Stegostoma tigrinum: one gene and its partners. The protein of the gene in region 3 purifies or fractionates together with the protein of the main gene of each other region. This does not show direct contact. Links are inferred from orthologs where the notes say so. Each region holds a gene or a part of one and is shown on either strand. Other genes may lie near its edges.

Region 1 (7,190 bases), on a different chromosome or scaffold from region 3:
AATATCTAGATTAATAGGCTACTGATAATACGATTAGGTCAGCACCTGCCATCATTCCATTACAATCAGTATTCAATTAATTTGACCTGATAGATACAGTTAAAATTAAATAGTTAAGGGACAATGAATTTTTCAGTAAATTTAAATCCAAGGTTTTTAGAAAAGAGTTAAAAATATTTCAGTTGGCCGCACTATTAAGCAAAGAAATAGCAGACATCAGCACTTGATTAGTGAGCAGCCGCTGAGGTGGTTTATTAACACTACTTCAGTGGGTTTAAACTAATTGGTACAAGCGTGGAATATTAGCAAAGCAAAACAAAATGCACAATGAATTGTAAAGACAAAAAAACTCAAATAGGATACAACATGACATGAAATACTGTCAGCGTAAGGGGCATGCTGTAAGTTTTAACATGGATACATGTGAATGTATTAAGTGCACCAAATATGGCTGGTGAGGGGGAGACACAAATAGCCACATGCAAATTATGTTGTGGTGATAATGGATGCCTTGAATGAGTAAGGTAGAGTGAGGGACTAAATATTCCTAGATGCAAGGTACTCTGGAAAAGTGGGGAGCAATACTAATTAAAGAGAAATTAAAGTACTAATGAGAGGGGTTATCCTAGAGGAGTCTTACAGCTATGGAACAGAGGAATATAATTACACTTCTGGATGTACCCTATAGGCAACTAACTAGTGGAAAAGATGTAGAGGAACAAGTCTGCAAGAACATTCATGAATTATAGTGTAGTTACAACAGAAAACTTTAATCCAGTAGCGACTGAACAGTAATAGCATAAAGGGCAGAAAGGGGAAAAGAGTTTCTAATAAAAGCAAAATACTGTGGTTAGTGGAAATCTGTAACATACAGAAAATACTGGAAAAACTCAGGTTTGGCAACATTTGTGTCATTCTAGACTTGAAAATTTAACTTTGTTTATCACCACCGATGCTACCAGATCTGCTGAGTTCCTCCAGCACTCTTGTGCTAGTTGTGAAAGAGTTTCTAAAGTATGCTCATGAGAATGGGAACGAAGTACAAATGGAAGAAAATTGAGACACCTATATAAAACACTGGCTCAGCCTCAAGATCAGCGCATCGCTTTTTAGGAAGGATGTAAAGGCATTAGAGAGTATGCAGAAAAGATTTGGGAGAATAATTTCAGGAATAGGAAAGTTCAGCTCTTGGATAGATTGGAGAAGTTGTGGTTGTTCTTGTTAGAGATAACAAGAGGACATGTGTCAAAAATTGTGTGGTTCAGAGTTGAGAGAATGTATTCCTGTTTGTGGAAGAATCGAGAACCAAAGGACACAGATTTAAGATAAAAACAAGACACTGCAAAATGCTGTAAAATCTGGGAAAAAGACTGTTGTAAATCTCATTGCCCAATATCAAGTCTAGCACAAATCAGGAACGGCATGGAATACTGTCCATTGCCTGTACGCAGTTCCAACAACAGCCAAGAAACTATCGCAGGCCAAACAATCCACCTGATTGGCACCCCAACCACTACTTTCAATAGTCACTTCTTTCAGCACTGACATAGTGGCAGCAATGTGTACCACCTACGAAGTACATCACAGTATTTTACCAAGGATCCCCTGACAGCATCTTCCAAACCTCTATTGCCTACAAGGACAAGGGTAGCTGAAACATGGGAAAATTAACAGCATCAAGTTAATCTGCTACTGTGGATCAAAATTCTGGAACTCCCTTCCTAACACCATTGTGGGTGTCGCTACACTCTTAGGACAGAAATGGTTCAAGATGGTACTTCACCATCACTTTTACCAAGGCAATTCAGGTTAGGTATCCTGCAACATTCACTTTCCATAATGAAAAAAAAACACTGAATTGTGGAAACCCATTTCTAATGTGACTTATAAAATGAAAAGAACTGCAGATGCTGTAAATCAGGAGCAAAAAGTTGCTGGAAAAGCTCAGCAGGTCTGGCAGCATCTGTGGAGGAGAAAACAGAGTTAACGACTTGGGTCCGGTGTTCAAAGAAACCAAAAAACCCCACAAAAGTCTGCAGTGAAACAGATTTTTATTTTTAAGAAAAATCACAAGCTAAAAGGCTATCGAAAAAAACAAGCTTCCTGCTGCATTCAAAATTCTCCACTTAATTTCACATCTATTTTGAAACGATTTGAGAGATTTACGCTTTCTTCTGAATGGGATACGTTTACCAAACTGAGATGTGCGGAGAAAAGAATGCTGTGAACAGGCATAAAATATTGGATGCAAAATTCAGGCATGGCTAAATTATTTGCATAAACCAGTGTGTCCCTTTTTTGTTCTTATATGTGAAAACAAAAATTTGTTCTGAGCGCTGGCAAAATGGGGATCACATCACCCCTCCACGACGTACCCGATGTCCAGTCTAATTTCAGTCAATGAAATTAAACAGTAGGCGACCCATAGCTCCAATTGCACTGGTCCCTAGCCGTAATTCTACGATTAACTGGAAACCCTATTAGCACCGTCACAACACATTACAAAGAAAAACATTCAGAACAAAACAAAGGTTGAAAAACAAAATACTTCCTAGTTTCTGATTTAGAAATTTCCAGTTACCGGCTAAAACTGGACCGAAGGGGAAATCTTGGCCTCACCCTCAATCAGCGTAGACCGCGGGCCCTCAGTCAGTTCACTCAGTGAGAAATGGTTCACATTTGAGACAGACAGAGAGAGCCCGCACCCTTACAGTCAGAATCCGAGCTCCGGACACTTTCAGGCGGCGGCAGCGGCATCATCCAACGTGCACTTTCCCGGAGGTGACATCCCAGGCCCTGACCTGACTCAACCTGCAGGGTCGCCGCTACTACCTTAGCCCCCGCCCACCCCCGTCAGTGCGAACAGTTTTCACCTTCTCGCGATCCACCGGCTTCTCTGGCTCTTTCTTGATCTCCTCCTGGGTGACTCTAGACTCCACCGCCATATTCCCGCCCCGCCGCTCTCTCAACGATGGCGACCGCACCATAGAGAGCGAGCAAGTCCCGAGAGCTGCGCACGCAGCATGCGCATGTCAACAAACTATTTGTGACAACTGCGGCGACCATTTTTGCTCCTGGCAACTGCCCACGGTGACTGGCAGTAGAGCGAAGGAACGTGGCAATGAAATATAAACCGAAAGTCCATCATTTCTTAACGGGGTCCGAACCATCTACTGTCTCTCCCTCAACAACGATAAGGTTCTCCTTGTCCTTACCGTCTCCTCCCTTGTCTGCCTTGCGCAGGGACCGTGCCCTTCGGGATACCTTGGTCTACATTCCTTCTCTGCTGACACCAACCTCCCCAGTAGCCCCACGGCACCTTTCCTTGCAACCACCGAAGCTGCAACACTTATCTCCCAGATAGTAGGAACTGCAGGTGCTGGAGAATTTGAGATAACAAGGTGTAGAACTGGATGAACACAGGAGGCCAAGCAGCATCAGAGGAAACTTCAGCCTTCCTGCTCCTCTGATGATGCTTGGCCTGCTGTGTTCATCCAGTCTACATCTTGTTATCACACTTGACTCCTACCTCCCCAGCATCCAAGGGGCCAAACATACTTTCCAGGGAAGCAGCACTTGCACTTCACTCAATCTAGTCTGCAACATTTGCTGCTCACAATGTGGTCTCCTCTACATTGGGGAAATGAGGCACAGACTGGGTGACTGCTTCACAGAACAACCTATCTTCTTTTCTCTCCATCTTCGGTCCGCCTCCCCCTCTCTCCCTATTTATTCCAGAACCCTCACCCCATCCCCCTCTCTGATGAAGGGTCTAGGCCCGAAACGTCAGCTTTTGTGCTCCTGAGATGCTGCTGGGCCTGCTGTGTTCATCCAGCCTCACATTTTATTATCTTGGATTCTCCAGCCTCTGCAGTTCCCATTATCACTGCTTCACAGAACATCTATGTTCTGCTTGCAAAAATGATCCTGAGCTTCCAGTTGCCTGCCACCTTAACACACCACCCTGTTCCCTGGCCAATATCTCTGTCTTCGGCTTGCTGCAGTGTTCCAGTGAAGTTCAGCACAAGCTGGAAGCATAACACTCCATTTTCTGAAGAAGGGTCCCAGCCTGAAACATCAACTTTCCTGATCCTCTGATGCTGCCTGGCTTGCTGTATTCATCCAGCTCCACACTCTGTTACCCCATTTTCCACTTGGTAACCATGCAGCCCACCCGGCTCAATGTGGAGTTTAGTAATTTTAGAGTTTGGACTCTCCCACGTCCTTGTCCCCACCCCACACTTCAGGCCTTGTTATCACATAGCCTGTCATTTCACACTACCTATTGTCAGCCACTGACAGTCTCCATAAACAGCTAATCACCCTCCTGGCCAGATTGTAATCAACTCCTTTGTCCAACTGTTCTATCTCTTTGGGATCTATACCCAACTACCATTTACTCATCACCCCCTTCCCCCATCCTGTCTTCCGCATATAAACCACCAATTTCCTCGCCTCCATCAGTTCTGAAGAAGGATCACCAGACCCGAAACACTAACTCTGATTTTTCCCCACAGATGCTGCCAGACCTGCTGAGTTTATCGGCAACTTCTGTTTTCGTTTATGATAAATGTCAATGACTGGTCACTTGGTTCACCCCCAGTGAATGCATGATCACCAAGTTTGCAGCTGACAGAAACAAAGGCGGGAATGCAAGTAGTGACAATGATACCGAGGGTCATCAAAGGGAAATAGACAGGTTAAACAAGTGGCTAAAAGCTTAGTTATTGGAATATAGGGCTGGAAAATGTGAGGTTATGCACATTGGCAGGAAGAATAGAAGAGCTGAATAATACTTAAATGTGCAAAGACTGCAGAAAACTGCAGGACAAGGGATTTTGGAAGTCTTGGTACATAAATCACAAAAAAATTAGAAACCAAGTTCAGTGGTTAATGGTGAAAGCAAATGGAATGTTTACCCTTACTTCAAAGGGAGTGGAGTATAAAAATAGTGAGGCCTTTATAAAATTAAACAAGGTACTTGTCAAATCATTGATAATGGGAACTGCAGATGCTGGAGAATCCAAGATAACAAAGTGGGGAGCTGGATGAACACAGCAGGCCAAGCAGCATCTCAGGAGCACAAAAGCTGACGTTTCGGGCCTAGACCAGGCCCAAAATGTCAGCTTTTGTGCTCCTGAGATGCTGCTTGGCCTGCTGTGTTCATCCAGCTCCACACTTTGTTAACTTGTCAAACCATACCTGGAATACTGTGAGCAGTTCTTTTTTCCCCTTAGCTAAAGGAAGATATGCTGGCATTGGAGGCAATCCAGAGAAGATTCACTAGATTGGTCTAGTGTATGGAGGGAACAGCTTTTTCCCAGCTGGTATTAGACTAATGAGTGGACTTTCTAGCCTCAAATAATACGGATCTTGCAACATTGATCTTGCCTGGTGCATGCCCTGTGCAATATAACCTGTATGCCTCTGTCTAAGTCTTTTTGAACGGTGCATTCTTGCTTACTATGATCTGTCTGTACTGCTTGTAAACAAAGCTTTTCACTGTACATCGGTACACATGACATTAAATCATTCAATCAATCAATCAATTGATTTTCTTTATAGAAAATGTGTACTGATTGGAGTTTAGGAGAATGAGAGAAGACCTTATTGAAACATATAAGATTCTTAGTGGGATTGACAGGGTAGATAGAGAAAGGTTGCTTTCCCTTGTGGAAGATTCTACCACCAGAGGGCATAATCTCAGAGTAAAGGGTCACCCATTTAAGATAGACATGGGGAGGAACTTCTATTTAAGGCAGGTGAATCTGTGGAATTCATAGATATCATTGAATCCCTACAGTGTGGAAACAGGTCCTTCGGCCCAACATGTCCACACCGATCCTCAGAGCATCCCACCCAGACCTGTACTCTTATAACCCACCCAATCTACACATCCCTGAGGACTATGGGCATTTAGCATTGCCAATCCACCCACCCTGCACATCTTTGGACTGTGGGAGGAAACCAGAGCACCTGCAGGAAACCCATGTGGATACAGTGAGAATGTGCAAACTCCACACAGACAGTCACCAGAGGATGGCTGTCAAATCTGGGTAATTACGCATATTCAAAGCTGAATTCTAATTATTAAAGGAGTCTAGGGTTGGGGAATAAGACAAGAAAGTGTAGTTGATGATCATCTGATCAGCAATGATCTCCTTGAATAATGGACACAATGGGCTGAATAGCTTATTACTGTTTCTATATCTTATAGCATGCTAATAATTTCCCCACATAAACAAATTAGAATAATCCCAAATTCCTCTCGCTATTTAGAATCCTAATATTCAAATAACTGCCTTAATTACTAGTGCAGATAATTCTTTGGCAAAATTTGACATCATGCAGATATCTGGAAAGTTGTCTGAAAGAAACAAGTTTTAAAGAGCATTTTTAAAAAGGAAAGAACAGTAGAAAAGTTGGGGGTCATGAGAAGTGAGTGGCGGTAGTGTTGCAGTATGGTGTTTGTTAGTTGCAGAAATTCCACATCTTATGTTCCAGGCTGCACTTGAAGACATTGCCTCCAACATTGTAGCAATTAAAACAGGTGGTGTTCAAGAGGCCTGAATTGGAGCAGCACAAGTATCTTGGAGGATTGTAGGGGTTGGAGGAAAGAACACAGGTAGGTCATGGACTGTGGCTGTGTAGGACTCTGAAAACAAGGATGTGAATTTTCAAACTGATGCATTAGTCACCTAGGAGAAAATGTCTGTCAGTGAGAAACGGGTGACAGACAAATGAGACTCACTAACTTCAGACATAGGTAGTTTTGAATAAGTCCAAATTCATAGAGAATGAAATGTTGGAGTCCAGCCAGAAAATCATTAGAACAATTAATTTTACAGGTAACAGGGAATGAATTAAGATTTTAACAGCAAATTAGCTGCAGCAGGGGAAGAAACAGATGATGACTTGAAGATGGAAAAGGCAATATAGTTGATGAAAAGGAGGGCTTGATATCTCAACACAGAGTTTAGTGGGTGCCAAGTTTACAAATATTCTGATTCAGCCTCAGGTAGCGGTTGAAGTTGTTGACTTGCTCGCCGAGCTGGCTTGTTTTTGTTCACAAGTTTTGTCACCATGCTAGGTGACGCCATCAGTGGAGGTTCCGATGAAGTGATGTTATTCTACTCCACTGGGAATTTATACTGTCCCGTCTGTTATGGTGAGTACAGTCATTTCCGGTT
Region 2 (6,904 bases), on a different chromosome or scaffold from region 3:
TGGAATCGAACCCGGGTCCCTGATGCAGTGCCAACCACTGTGCCACCTACTCATTGTTACTTTCTCATTTCAGTCCACAAGTAAAAATATAGAAGAATAAACAAGTAGGGTCCTTATTAGGCAGGAGAAGAGAGGACCCAATGGTGTTAATAATCAGAAACTTCATTCAAATGCACAAGCAGACAGGCACAAGGGTAGCATGCATGTTTACCTGAGACACCAGGTGACCTGACACGAGGGGTGGCACGGTGGTTCAGTGGTTAGTATTGCTGCCTCACAGCGCCAGGGACCCGGATTCGAGTCCAGTCTCGGGCGACTGTCTGTGTGGAGTTTGCATGTTCTCCCCGTGTCTGCGTGGGTTTCCTCTGGGTGCTCCGGTTTCCTCCCACAGCCCAAAGATGTGCAGGCTGGGTGGATTGGCCAATCTAAATTGCCTGTAGTGTTCAGGGATGCGTATATTAGGTGGTTTATAGGGGGATGGGTCTGGGTGGGATGCTCTGAGGGTCAATGTGGACTTGTTGGGCTGAAGGGCCTGTTTCCACACTGTAGGGCTATGAAGGGCTACAGCCACACCATCAGAAATCTGCTGTCTCAGGCATGTGATTGTCTCAGAGCAGTCTCAAAGTCTGCTGGATATGTGGCCAGACCTGAACTCTCAGAGATAGTAGGAACTGCTGGTGAATCTGAGATAACAAGGTGTAGAGCTGGATGAGCACTCCAGGCCAAGCAGCATCAGAGGAGCAGGAAGGCTGACATTTCAACCTATTTCTGAAGAAGGGTCTAGGCCTGAAACGTCACCTTTTCTGTTCCTCTGATGCTGCTTGGCCTGCTGCATTCATCCAGCTCTACACCTTGTTAACTTAGATTCTCCAGCATCTGCAATTCCTACTATCTCTGATAGAGTTCTGGTCTGTCCACATATCCAGCAACTCCATCAGCGTAGCCACTGGTCTTCAGCAACAGTAAGGCAATAGGGGCAAGAGGAACTTTGAGCTCACTCCAGTCATCCCTTCCTCTCATAGAGACTAGATGGAGGACGAACCACATACTGACCTTCAGAAGTCTTCTAACAGGGAACTCCAGAAGTAGCGGGGTCTTCCTGCTTCACCTTGCCTGCTACCTTCAGACCAAAAGGAGTCTAAGTCAAAGAGGGTGCAGTTGTCTCTTGAAAGGGCATACTGAACATGTCTGGGCTGAGGCCCCCTGGGGCCATCCAGCCAAACTGACAAAGCCAATGGGCTCCAGTATACAGCAGGCTTCCTCCAAACCAGGGACTGCACTGACAGGTAGTGGGAGGGAAAGAAATAAGACCTATTGAGGGTTGTATTGGTAGCACGGGTGACACGTCGTTGTAAATAAGTTCTCACTTTTGTAAATGTGTATTCACTTGTCACTGTCATCTGTTTGTGTATCTCTGTGCATCTGCAAATGCAACGCTGCAGGTACTGCCTCAGCTACCTAGAATACACCTCCTCCCACCCACCCTCCTGCAAAAATTCCATCCCCTATTCCCAATTCCTCCGCCTCCGTCGCATCTGCTCCCACGATAAGACATTCCACTCCCGCACATCCCAGATGTCCAAGTTCTTCAAGGACCGCAACCTCCCCCCCACAGTGATCGAGAACGCCCTTGACCACGTCTCCCGCATTTCCCGCAACACATCCCTCACACCCCGCCCCCGCCACAACCGCCCAAAGAGGATCCCCCTCGTTCTCACACACCACCCCACCAACCTCCGGATACAACGCATCATCCTCCGACACTTCCACCATCTACAATCCGACCCCACCACCCAAGACATTTTTCCATCCCCACCCCTGTCTGCTTTCCGGAGAGACCACTCTCTCCGTGACTCCCTTGTTCGCTCCACACTGCCCTCCAACCCCACCACACCCGGCACCTTCCCCTGCAACCACAGGAAATGCTACACTTGCCCCCACACCTCCTCCCTCACCCCCATCCCAGGGCCCAAGATGACATTCCACATTAAGCAGAGGTTCACCTGCACATCTGCCAATGTGGTATACTGCATCCACTGTACCCGGTGTGGCTTCCTCTACATTGGGGAAACCGAGCGGAGGCTTGGGGACCGCTTTGCAGAACACCTCCGCTCGGTTCGCAACAAACAACTGCACCTCCCAGTCGCAAACCATTTCCACTCCCCCTCCCATTCTCTAGATGACATGTCCATCATGGGCCTCCTGCAGTGCCACAATGATGCTACCCGAAGGTTGCAGGAACAGCAACTCATATTCTGCTTGGGAACCCTGCAGCCGAATGGTATCAATGTGGACTTCACCAGCTTCAAAATCTCCCCTTCCCCCACCGCATCCCTAAACCAGCCCAGTTCGTCCCCTCCCCCCACTGCACCACACAACCAGCCCAGCTCTTCCCCTCCACCCACTGTAACCCAAAACCAGTCCAACCTGTCTCTGCCTCCCTAACTGTTCTTCATCTCACCCATCCCTTCCTCCCACCCCAAGCCGCACCTCCATATCCTACCTACTAACCTCATCCCACCTCCTTGACCTGTCCGTCTTCCCTGGACTGACCTATCCCCTCCCTACCTCCCCACCTCCCCACCTATACTCTCCTCTCCACCTATCTTCTTTACTCTCCATCTTCGGTCCGCCTCCCCCTCTCTCCCTATTTATTCCAGTTCCCTCTCCCCATCCCCCTCTCTGATGAAGGGTCTAGGCCCGAAACGTCAGCTTTTGTGCTCCCGAGATGCTGCTGGGTCTGCTGTGTTCATCCAGCCTCACATTTTATTATCTTGGATTCTCCAGCATCTGCAGTTCCCATTATCTCACTGCAGGTACTAATGCCCCACATCCCTACCACTAGGTAATGTGCCATGGACCAGGGTGCAAAGTGAACAGCTGCTGGCAATGGGTGAATTGCAGATACCGGTGACTTTGGCAACTGGACTCCATCTTGCAGTTGCACAAACACTGCTACTGCATTTGTGTGGTTCAATCGTCATCATGTCATGCTGCATAAGCAACAAGTGTGGGGAGATTGGGACGGCTGACGTGGAGGCGTGGTGAAGGGAGATGGTGAGGGTGATGGGGAGGGGAGATGAGAAGGAGATGGTGAGGGGTTAATGAAGAGGGGATGGTGAAGGGATGATGGGGGGAATGAGGAGGGAATGGTGAGGGGGTGATGGTGAGAGGGGAATGTGGAGAGGGATGTGGACGGGATAGTGAGGGGAATGGGGAGGGGACGGTGTGAGGGGCATGGGGAGGGGATGGTGGGAGGGGGATAGTGAGGGGGGATGGGGAAGAAATGGTGAGGGGGAAAGTGGAGGGGATAGTGAGGGGGATGTGGAGGGGATAGTGAGGGCAATGGGATAGTGAAGGGGGATGGTGAGTGGGGAATGGGGAGGGGACGGTGAGAGGGGAATGGGGAGGGGATGGTGGGAGGGGGATAGTGAGGGGGGATGGGGAAGAAATGGTGAGGGGGAAAGTGGAGGGGATAGGGGAGGGGATAGTGAGGAGGGACGGTGGGATAGTGAAGGGGGATGGTGAGTGGGGAATGGGGAGGGACGGTGAGGGGGAATGGGGAGGGGATGGTGGGAGGGGGATAGTGAGGGGGGGTGGGGAAGAAATGGGGGGTGGGGAAGAAATGGTGAGGGGGAAAGTGGAGGGGATAGTGAGGGCAATGGGATAGTGAAGGGGGATGGTGAGTGGGGAATGGGGAGGGGACGGTGAGAGGGGGATAGTGAGGGGGGAGTGGGGATGGGATGGAGATGGTGAGGGGGGAGAACGGAGGGGACGGGACTGTGTTGGCATGGGGATGGTGGGGGAAGGGAGCGGGCCGAATGCGGGTCCTCCGCCAATCAGACGCCGGGGTTTGGGTGCGGGGGTGGGGCCGGGGCTCACACGTGACTGCAGCTATTTCCGTTAGTTGTGGCGCGAGGCAGCGGCCATTTTGTCTGAGCGCGAGGAGTTGGAGGGAGCGAGCAGGTACCGTGACCGGGGAGGAACCGATAAGGATTAGGGACCCCCCACCATCCCCCTCGCCGGGCTAGTGAGTTACAGGCCGGGAATCGGGGGAGGGGTAAGGTAGGAGGCGGCAGGCGGGCATGAATCACGGCGTGGGCTGGGTCGGTGGGGATCGGCCCTCAGGGTCTCTTGTCCCCGGGCCTGCCGTGAGAGTGCTGCCCGGAGAGCGGCTCTGGGTCAGCCTCTGCCTCCGTGTGTGTATATTATATATATATATATATATATATATGTGTGTGTGTGTGGGTAGGGAAGTGTCAGGAAGTTCAGCCTCTTCCCGGGGCCGTCCTCGGGTGGGGCTCGGCGCCTCTGCCGCCATTTTCTCGGCAGAGACTGAGAACAAAGAGAGCGGCGGTCCCTGGGCCCTGACCCCCGGCCCGGCGGCCAGTACTCGGACTCAACCGGATCCGGGGCATCGCTGGACGCTCGGCGGCGTCAGCGCCGTGTCCTACCCGATCTTGCTAAACACCCACCACACCACCATCTCTCTTCTCTCTTTCCCCCCCCCCCCTCCGATAATCAGGCATTCCCTTCTACCACACACCCCCCCCCCCATACACAGGCATTCCCTTCTACCACACACCCCCCCCCCCATACACAGGCATTCCCTTCTACCACACACCCCCCCCCCCATACATAGGCATTCCCTTCTACCACACACACACACACCCCCATACATAGGCATTCCCTTCTACCACACCCCCCCCCCCCATACATAGGCATTCCCTTCTACCACACACCCCCCCCATACATAGGCATTCCCTTCTACCACACACACACCCCCCCCATACATAGGCATTCCCTTCTACCACACACCCCCCCCCCCATACACAGGCATTCCCTTCTACCACACACCCCCCCCCCATACATAGGCATTCCCTTCTACCACACACACCCCCCCCCATACATAGGCATTCCCTTCTACCACACATCCCCCCACCCCATACACAGGCATTCCCTTCTACCACACACCCCCCACCCCATACACAGGCATTCCCTTCTACCACACACCCCCCACCCCATACACAGGCATTCCCTTCTACCACACACCCCCCCCCCCCATACATAGGCATTCCCTTCTACCACACACACCCCCCCCCCCCCCATACATAGGCATTCCCTTCTACCACACATCCCCCCACCCCATACACAGGCATTCCCTTCTACCACACACCCCCCCCCCCATACATAGGCATTCCCTTTTACCACACATCCCCCCACCCCATACACAGGCACTCCCTTCTACCACACACCCCCCACCCCATACACAGGCATTCCCTTCTACCACACACCCCCCCCCCATACACAGGCATTCCCTTCTACCACACCCCCCCCCCCATACACAGGCATTCCCTTCTACCACACACCCCCCCCCCCCATACATAGGCATTCCCTTCTACCACACACACCCCCCCCCCCATACATAGGCATTCCCTTCTACCACACATCCCCCCACCCCATACACAGGCATTCCCTTCTACCACACACCCCCCACCCCATACACAGGCATTCCCTTCTACCACACACCCCCCCCCCCATACACAGGCATTCCCTTCTACCACACCCCCCCCCCATACACAGGCATTCCCTTCTACCACACCCCCCCCATACACAGGCATTCCCTTCTACCACACCCCCCCCCCCCCCATACACAGGCATTCCCTTCTACCACACACCCCCCACCCCATACACAGGCATTCCCTTCTACCACACACCCCCCACCCCATACACAGGCATTCCCTTTCCCCTTTCTACCCCCCCCCATACACAGGCATTCCCTTCTACCACACACCCCCCCATACACAGGCATTCCCTTGTCCAAAGGCATGACCTTTGCCATTGTGACTTAATTTCTCTGGTCCAAATATGGAGGCAGCTAATGATCCACTAGTTCATGAAGCGTTTGATTTTGTAGCTGTCCCAGTGACAGACTAGCCACTTGAAGGTGTTCAGGTGAAATATTGATCTGTTGTATCCAAGATCTGTTTGGTTTTGTCTGCAAGCTGCTTTAGCAACATTTTAAGCTAACTCATCCCAACTCCTTGTTCACTTCTCAGAATATCTGTGCTGAATATTTGATTACATATGTTTTGCTTTGTAGAGTTTTGCAGCTGTTTCCACAGATATTGGTCTGAAATTACTTGGTTTGTAGTGGTTTCAGGATTCCTCCTGTGGGATAGTAAGCGTTGCATTACTCTCTCTAGACCCTTTGTGTGACTTTAAGGGGGTCAGCAGTGCAATGGACATGTGAAATGTGAAGCAGTTTCATACTTGCATGCAAGTGCTGTGACTGGATACTGGACTTTCTGTGGGGTTTGGTGTCCATTTAAAACATATCTTTTAATGACCTCCATATTGCCATTATACTGATGTTGAGGGATTCCAGATTAATTCCTGAATTATTTAAAGTGCTCATTGTGTTGCTTGTTTTTCGAGGTTTTAAATGTCTATAATGACTCAAGGTTGGCAGAATGTGTAGAATCTGTTAACTAAATTTTTAAAATTTGTATCTTGTATTCCAGCCATGAATCATGGTTCATGTCCTCTTGACTGCAAGGTGTACGTAGGAAACCTTGGAAACAATGGAAATAAGACAGAGCTTGAGAGATCATTTGGATATTATGGCCCTCTCCGCAGTGTATGGGTTGCCCGGAATCCACCTGGATTTGCATTTGTTGAGTTCGAAGATCCGCGAGATGCTTCGGATGCAGTCAGAGAACTTGATGGAAGGTAATTATTTCCCTCCCTAAAGTTGGTGTCATTCCCTTTTGAGTTGTCTTCACAGCTTTTGTTGCATACTTCCCAAAACTGATTCTGAGAAGCAGTCAGATCAATGTGCTGTTGATGAATGGAGACATTTTATGGACATGTGGAACTGCTCCATCTAATGGCCAGAGTGAGA
Region 3 (7,136 bases):
ACAGCAGTTGGCCACTTAGCCAATGGAGTCCCTTCCTATCATTCATTAGGAAAAGTTTTGCCTCATCTCTGCCCTAAATGAGATACCTGTTGCCTTGAAATTTTGCTTCCTCATTGTACAGACCCCAGTGGGGGTAAACCTCCTCTTAGTATCTGTGTCAGGGCCTCATAATTTTACTTCTCTCGTTAAGATTAAATCTGATTCTTGCAAACTCCAAATGATATACACCCACCTCCTTAACCTTTTCGCCTAAGGTAACCTTTCCATCCCAGTTCAGTTTGGCCCATATAACTCTGAAACTTTCCTAGTAATGTGCTTGTCCAAATGTCTTAAATATTCTAACTGTACACACCTCTACTACTTCCTCTGGCAGTTCATTCCAGAATTGCAATTCAGCACAATCTGTAACCTCATGGCCCGGCATATCCCCAACTCAACCATTACCATCAAGCCAGTGACTCAACCCTGGTTCAATGGACAGTGCAGGAGGGAAGGCCACGAACAGCACCAGGCATACCTGATGATGAGGTGCCAATCTGGTGAAGCCACCAACAGGACTACTTGCACGCCGAACAGAGAAAGCAGCAAGTGACACTCAGAGCTAAGTGATCCCACAAGCAATAGATCAGATCTAAGCTCTACAGTCCTGCCACATCCAGTCGTGAATGGTGGTGGACAATTAAACAACTCTCTGGAGGGGGCCACTCCACAAATATCCCCATCCTCAATGATGGAAGAACCCAGCATATCAGTGCAAAAGATAAGGCTGAAGCTTTTGCAGCAATCTTCAGCCAGAAGTGCCAAGTGGATGATCCAGCTCAGCCTCCTCTGGTCGTCCCCAGCATTACAGATACTAGTCTTCAGCCAATTCGATTCACTCTATGAGATATCAAGAATCGGTTGGAGGCACTGGATACTGCAAAGGCTATGGGCCTTGACAACATACCGACAACAGTACTGACTTGTGCTTCAGAACTTGCCTCTCCTTTAACTGAGCTGTTCTAGTACAGTCACAACAGTCACAAGCTGTTCCAGTACAGTCACAATCCAACAGTGTGGAAAACTGCCAAAGTACGTCCTGTACACAAAAGGTGGGACAAATCCAACACTGCCAATTACCACCCCATCAGTCTACTCTCAATCACCAGTAAAACGATGGAAGGTGTCATTAAGAGTGTTATCAAGCAGCACCTGCTCAGCAACACCCAGTTTGGGTTCCGCTAGGGCCACTCAGGTCCTGATCTCATTACAGCCTTGGTTCAAACACGGTCAAAAGAGCTGAATTCCAGAGGTGAGGTGAAAGTGACAGCCCTTGACACCAAGACCGCATTTGACTGAATGTGGCATCAGGGAGCCCGAGCAAAACTGGAATCAATGGATAACAGGGGGCAAACTCTCTGGTGGTTGGAGTCATACCTGAAATATAGAATATGGTTGTGGTCGTTGAAGGTCAATCATTCTCAGCCCCAGGACATCTGTGTAGGAGTTCCTCAGGATAGTGTCCTCAGTCCAACCATCTTCAGCTGCTTCATCAATGACCTTCCTTCCATCATAAGGTCAGAAGTGGGGATGTTCACCGATGATTGCACAATGATCAGCACCACTCATGATGCCTCAGATACTGAAGCAATCCGTGTTCAAATGCAACAAGATCTGGACAACATCCAGGTTTGGGCTGACAAGTGGTAAGTGACATTCATGCCACACAAATGCCAGACCATGACTATCACCAACAAGAGACAATCTAACCACCAGCCCTTGACATTCAACGGTGTTACCAACACTGAATCCCCCACTATCAACATCTTGGAGGTTATCACTGACCAGAAACTCAACTGGACTCACCACATAAACACGGTGGCTAGAAGAGCAGGCCAGAAGTGGGAATACTGTGGCGAGTAACTCACCACCTGGCTCCTCAAAGACTGTCCACCATCTGCAAACACACAAGTCACGAGTGTGATGGAATACCCCCTCAGTTGCCTGGATGAGTGCAGCCCCAACATCACTCAAGAAGCTTAACACCTTCCAATTTTAAAACTGTTTCCTACACTGCAAAGGTAGTTACACTTCAACAGTATTTAATTACTTCATGGTTGCTGGCTAGATGACTCTTTTGTGATGTAAAGGTGATGCTTACAGCCAACGTTCAATTCTTGTCCCAGCTGAGGTTACTACGAAGGTCCCACCTTCTCACCTGTGCCTCTTGTCTGACTGGGTGGTTACTCTCATGTTAAAACACCACAGGCATTTCTAATGACACAGCAGCCCTACAGTCCAGCTCTACACCTTTTTTCTTAGCCCTACAGTCCATTGGGATTATGGTAATTACTTTATTTACAGCCAGCAAAATGTCATGGACCTTAATTTCTTAGCAAAAGCTTACCACATCTGCGCCCCCCTCCACACTTGTCCTAAGACCATCTGCTGCTGAAACCCTTTAAAATGCCTTGCATTGTCACCTCCAGATTTGACATTCCAGAACGATCTCATATCCTCCAATCTATGTAAAATTGTAACTGTTTACGGTTTTCCAAACGTGCAAAGCCTTGCTTGTTCCAAATCCTTACCGTTGAGGGCGCTGTCCACTTAATGCACGCAACTGATTAGTGGAAGAAGGAGATGGATTTGCGGGCATCCTGGGCCTCTAACAGAAACACTCTGGCTCCAGGAGCGTGAACAGGGTCCACTCCATCAAGGCCAAGGTCTGAAGCCCTGGTTTCAATCACCTCAGCATCGCGCCGCCGCGAGGCTTCCTGCCAGTCTAGGCCGCACTCACCGTACGCGTAGATACCCCGCAGTAAGTCCTCCCGCAAGCCCATCGTGTCGAAGGTAGGGGTGACATCCACCTCCTCGCTTGTCTCAAACTCCACCTTGGAGATATCTTCCTCCTTCAGGATGCGCTTCCTCCCCGAACTTGCCATGATCCGGTCCCTGGTCACACGAATACCGTCAAACACCGGGAGAGTCCGACAACACGCATGCGTGAACGCCGCCAATCTACGTGACCCAGCTCGTGTACGTCAGCGTGATATCGTCACTGGGCGTGTCGTCGATTTGATTGACAGCAGTTCCTGAGGGATTTGGTCCAGATATTTGAAAAGCGTGAGGTCTTAAGTTCCCATGATAGCCACCTTAATTATCCATTTTTGATCCCTTTTTTCCTATCATTGTGCTGACAGACTTTATGCCGTGAAATATAGCATTGGCTTAAACTTGGATTACTCAAACTGAGCATTGGGAAACCCAAAGTATTCTGAATCCCTACCACAGATTCTGCTTCTGTGCAATTGATTCTAACCTTCACCCTAGCCATGATTCAGGTTGAGAAAGAATAGGAACTGCCGACGCTGGAGAATATCAGATAACAATGTGTGGAGCTGGATGAACACAGCAGGCCAGGCAGCATCAGAGGAGCAGGAAAGCTGACATTTCGGTTCTGATGAAGAGTCTAGGCCCGAAACGTCAGCTTTTATGCTGCTTGACCTGCTGTGTTCATCCAGCTTCACACTTTGTTATCTTGTTTTGGGTCTCGACCCTTCTTTGGAAATGGCAGTTAGAGCTGAAGAGGTCGAGGGAGGGTAGGAGGCCTTGGGGTGGTGTCTAGGAGGATGGGGTGTGTTGGAGGTGGGAGAAGGGGTCCGTAGAGGGGGGGATAGACTCACGATTAAAGAAATAAGCACAGAGGTGGTGGAAACACTGTTCAACTTCCAGGCATGAGCAATATTCATTGATGTTTGGATGGAGGGGGATAGAGGTGAGTCCTTTGCTGAGGAATGACCGTTCATCTTCAGTGAGGGGGAGGTCCAGGGGGATGGTGAAAACCCAGCAGGGCTGGGGCTGCTTTTGACTATAGACTTGCTAGCTGTAGGGGCGGTGGGCAGAGCGGCGTCAGCGGTGGATGGAGTGGCATTGGTGTCGGTAGACTGTCCTTGATGTTTGCAATGCTACCGGTTTCTCAAGAAGGGTCCAGAGCTGAAACATCAGCATTCCTGCTCATCTGATGCCGCCTGTCCTGCTGTGTTCACCCAGCTCCACACCTTATTATTTATGATTTAGGTTGAACTGGAATATTCACAGCCTCAGTGTCATGATTGACCATGGCTAAATATCAGACCTTAGATCCTTTCCATTGCTTGTAGAAAGCTTACCACATCTGCGTCCCCCTCCACACTTGTTCTAAGACCAGCTGCTGCTGAAACCCTTTACAATGCCTTGCATTGTCACCTCCAGATTTGACATTCCAGAATGATCTCATATCTTCCAATCTATGTAAAATTGTAACTGTTTACGGTTTTCCAAACGTGCAAAGCCTTGCTTGTTCCAAATCCTTACCATTCTTTGATCTCATTGGCTTCCTGTCTTTAAGGTTTGAAATTTAAAAATTATAATCCTTGTATTAAAATCTTCCATGGCCTCACTCTTCCAATCAATTGGAAATGCTGTACCTCATAAAACTATGCTCAGACTTTGATCCTCTGACTCTAACCTCTGTGAATCTCTCCCCCTCAACTTCTCAAAAACAGCAGCGAGGGTCCTATTTACTGAAAATTGTTAGGAAGGGGAGGTTGAACCTTTCTGATAACTAAAATTGAAAAACAAGCCTCCAATCTGTTACAGCAGGAGTCGCAGTCCCTTTCTAATGATTAAACCCAAAACACCCAGAGAAACTCGCCTCACCTCTCCTAATCTGTTAAACTGTTACGGACCCGGGGAGGTTAAGTGAAAGAAAATTCCTGATAGTCACTTTATAAATAACAAATAACAATTTATTTATTTAACTCTAACAATAACATACTGAACAGTTGCTCCACCCCCAACTTCTAACATTTCACTAATTGAACAAAATTCTACTGAAACACTTCAAATAAACACAAGTCCCACTTATATAAACCCAATTAATAAAACAGTAAATTAAAACTTAATCTCTCCAAGTTCACACAGACTGCATCTTCATAGAATTCCAACAGCATGGAAACAAGCCCTTCAGCCCAACAAGTCCACACTGACACTTGGAGCATCCCACTCAGACCCATCCCCCTATAACCCACCTAAGCTATACATCGCTGAACACTATGGACAATTTAGCATGGCCGATCCACCTAGCCTGCACATCTTTGGACTGTGGGAGGAAACTGGAGCACCCAGAGGAAACCCACACAGACACAGGGAGAACATGCAAACTCCACACAGTCACCCGAGGGTGGAATTGAACCCTGGTGCTGTGAGGCAGTAGTGCGAACCACTCTACCACTGTGCCATGTTATCCATTGTTAATAGTGATCTGAACTTTGTCTTCATACAGCTTTCAGAGCCCACAAAACTGTACCTAATATCTGGGTTAAAGTGATAAGATGAAATGACACGCTATTGAGAATGGAGTGAAGGGTGGATTTGTGTGTCTTCCGGAACACTCTGCCTTCTCCAGCATTTCCTCTTGATTTCAACTCACAAACATCTTTCTTCTGCAGATCTTGCTGTCATAGATGTTTTCTGTGTAATTTCCTAGTTCAGACATCCATTTTAACTCTTAAGTACTGTAAAAAACGTAATCTTTTAAAGGGACAATGCAATACTTTTCCCCATTTTACAATTTTACACACACCAATGTTGTAACAAAATCTCTTCCCAATCATCTCCGCCCATTCATTTCAATTAGGAGATTGGTTGCCCCTTTCCTAATGTCATGACAATTCTAATGTTATAATGTCTTAAGACTGATATTTTGCTTTGCAAAAGTGTTCAATTTACGAATAGGTAGAGGAAGTTGCAGCTTTGGTTTTATGAAGGTTTCAACTCACTCAGAGTTGAAGGAACAAAATAAATTGATGTAAGCTAGGCCTGCACCTGAAGCAAAGATATTTGGATGTGAATGTAGGGGTATGGTTAGAAAATTTGCAGATGACAAAAATTGGTGGTGAAGTGGACAGCAAAGAAGGTTACTTCAGAGTACAATGGGACATTGATCAAATGGGCTGATGGGCTGAAGAGTGGCAGATGGAGTTTAATCTGGATAAATGTGAGGTGTTACTTTTTGTTAGGGCAAATCAGACCATGACTTACACATTTAACGCAAATGTCCTGGGAGAGTTGTCCAACAAAGGGACCTTGGAGTGCAGGTTTATTCTTCCTGAAATTGGATTCCCATGTAGGCAGGGTAGTGAAGAAGGTATTTCATACACTCGTCTTTATTGGTCAGTGCATTGAGTGTAGGAGTTGGGAGGTCATGTTGTGGCTGTGCAGGACATTGGTTATGCCACTTTTGGACTACTATGTTCAATTCAGATTCCCTTGCTTTATGAAAGATGTTGTTAAACTTGAAAGGGTTCACAAAAGATTTATAAGGATGTTGCCAAGGCTGGAGGGTTTGAGCAATAGGGAGAGACTGATTAGGCTGGTGCTGGAGCATCATAGGCTGAGGGGTGACCTTATAGAGATTTATAAAATCATGATGTGCACGGGATAGGGTGAATCGTTAAGGTCTGTTCCTCAGGCTAGAGGGTCCAAAACTAGAGGGCAGGTGTTTAATGTGAGAGGGGAAAGAGTTAAAAGGGACCTAGAGGGCAACTTTTTCACTCAGAGTGTGGTGCGTGTGTGGAATGAACTGCCAGAAGAAGTGGTGAAGACTGGTACAATTACAACATCTAAAAGACATCTGAATGGGTATATGAATAGGAAGGGTTTAGAGGGATATGGGCCAAAAGCTAGCAAATGAGCCAAAATTAATTTAGGATATTTGGTCAGCATGGAAGTGTTGGACCGAAGGATCTGTTTCTGTGCTGTGCACCTCTATGACAATACTAATTTTATTGTGAGGATACAGTGGGAGCTCATGCTCAGTTGAAGAAAGAGTTGGGAGGGGAAAAGAGATTGGAAGATCTGCCTACCTTGGAGTTAGAAGATAAAATTTACAGGAAACTAACTTGGCAAAAGCAATTTAGCTTGGCATCAGGCAGAGAAAGGCAGCTTGTCAAGAACTGTAAAGCAGCTGTTGGACCAAGAGTTGTGCAGAAACTGAGAAAAGACAGGGTGAAAGCAACCTGTATTAGAGCAAATACTGGGGATGCTGGAGATTTGAAATGAAATCAAAGTGCTGGAGAAACAGAACAGGTTAACCTGAAAAAGTCATAGTGAAC

What was found. The genes of interacting proteins can lie anywhere in the genome.
Region 1: the proteins of eif4a3 (region 3) and sap18 fractionate together in Homo sapiens (co-fractionation; 3 studies listed by BioGRID and IntAct, with this or other methods). This does not show direct contact. The link is inferred for Stegostoma tigrinum from reciprocal best matches to the Homo sapiens genes EIF4A3 and SAP18.
Region 2: the proteins of eif4a3 (region 3) and serine/arginine-rich splicing factor 3 purify together in Homo sapiens (affinity purification with mass spectrometry; 3 studies listed by BioGRID and IntAct, with this or other methods). This does not show direct contact. The link is inferred for Stegostoma tigrinum from reciprocal best matches to the Homo sapiens genes EIF4A3 and SRSF3.

Annotation. Positions count from the first base shown.
Region 1 is NC_081359.1:73,360,397-73,367,586, reverse strand, and holds the start of sap18 (histone deacetylase complex subunit SAP18), read right to left. Parts: upstream 3,008-7,190; 5' UTR 2,988-3,007; coding exon 2,874-2,987; intron 1-2,873. UniProt on the Homo sapiens protein: Component of the SIN3-repressing complex. Enhances the ability of SIN3-HDAC1-mediated transcriptional repression. When tethered to the promoter, it can direct the formation of a repressive complex to core histone proteins.
Region 2 is NC_081374.1:45,876,567-45,883,470, forward strand, and holds the start of serine/arginine-rich splicing factor 3, read left to right. Parts: upstream 1-3,897; 5' UTR 3,898-3,966; exon of another isoform or gene 3,967-4,030; intron 4,031-6,524; 5' UTR 6,525-6,526; coding exon 6,527-6,732; intron 6,733-6,904. UniProt on the Homo sapiens protein: Splicing factor, which binds the consensus motif 5'-C[ACU][AU]C[ACU][AC]C-3' within pre-mRNA and promotes specific exons inclusion during alternative splicing.
Region 3 is NC_081362.1:20,270,674-20,277,809, reverse strand, and holds the start of eif4a3 (eukaryotic initiation factor 4A-III), read right to left. Parts: upstream 3,002-7,136; 5' UTR 2,925-3,001; coding exon 2,780-2,924; intron 1-2,779. UniProt on the Homo sapiens protein: ATP-dependent RNA helicase. Involved in pre-mRNA splicing as component of the spliceosome. Core component of the splicing-dependent multiprotein exon junction complex (EJC) deposited at splice junctions on mRNAs.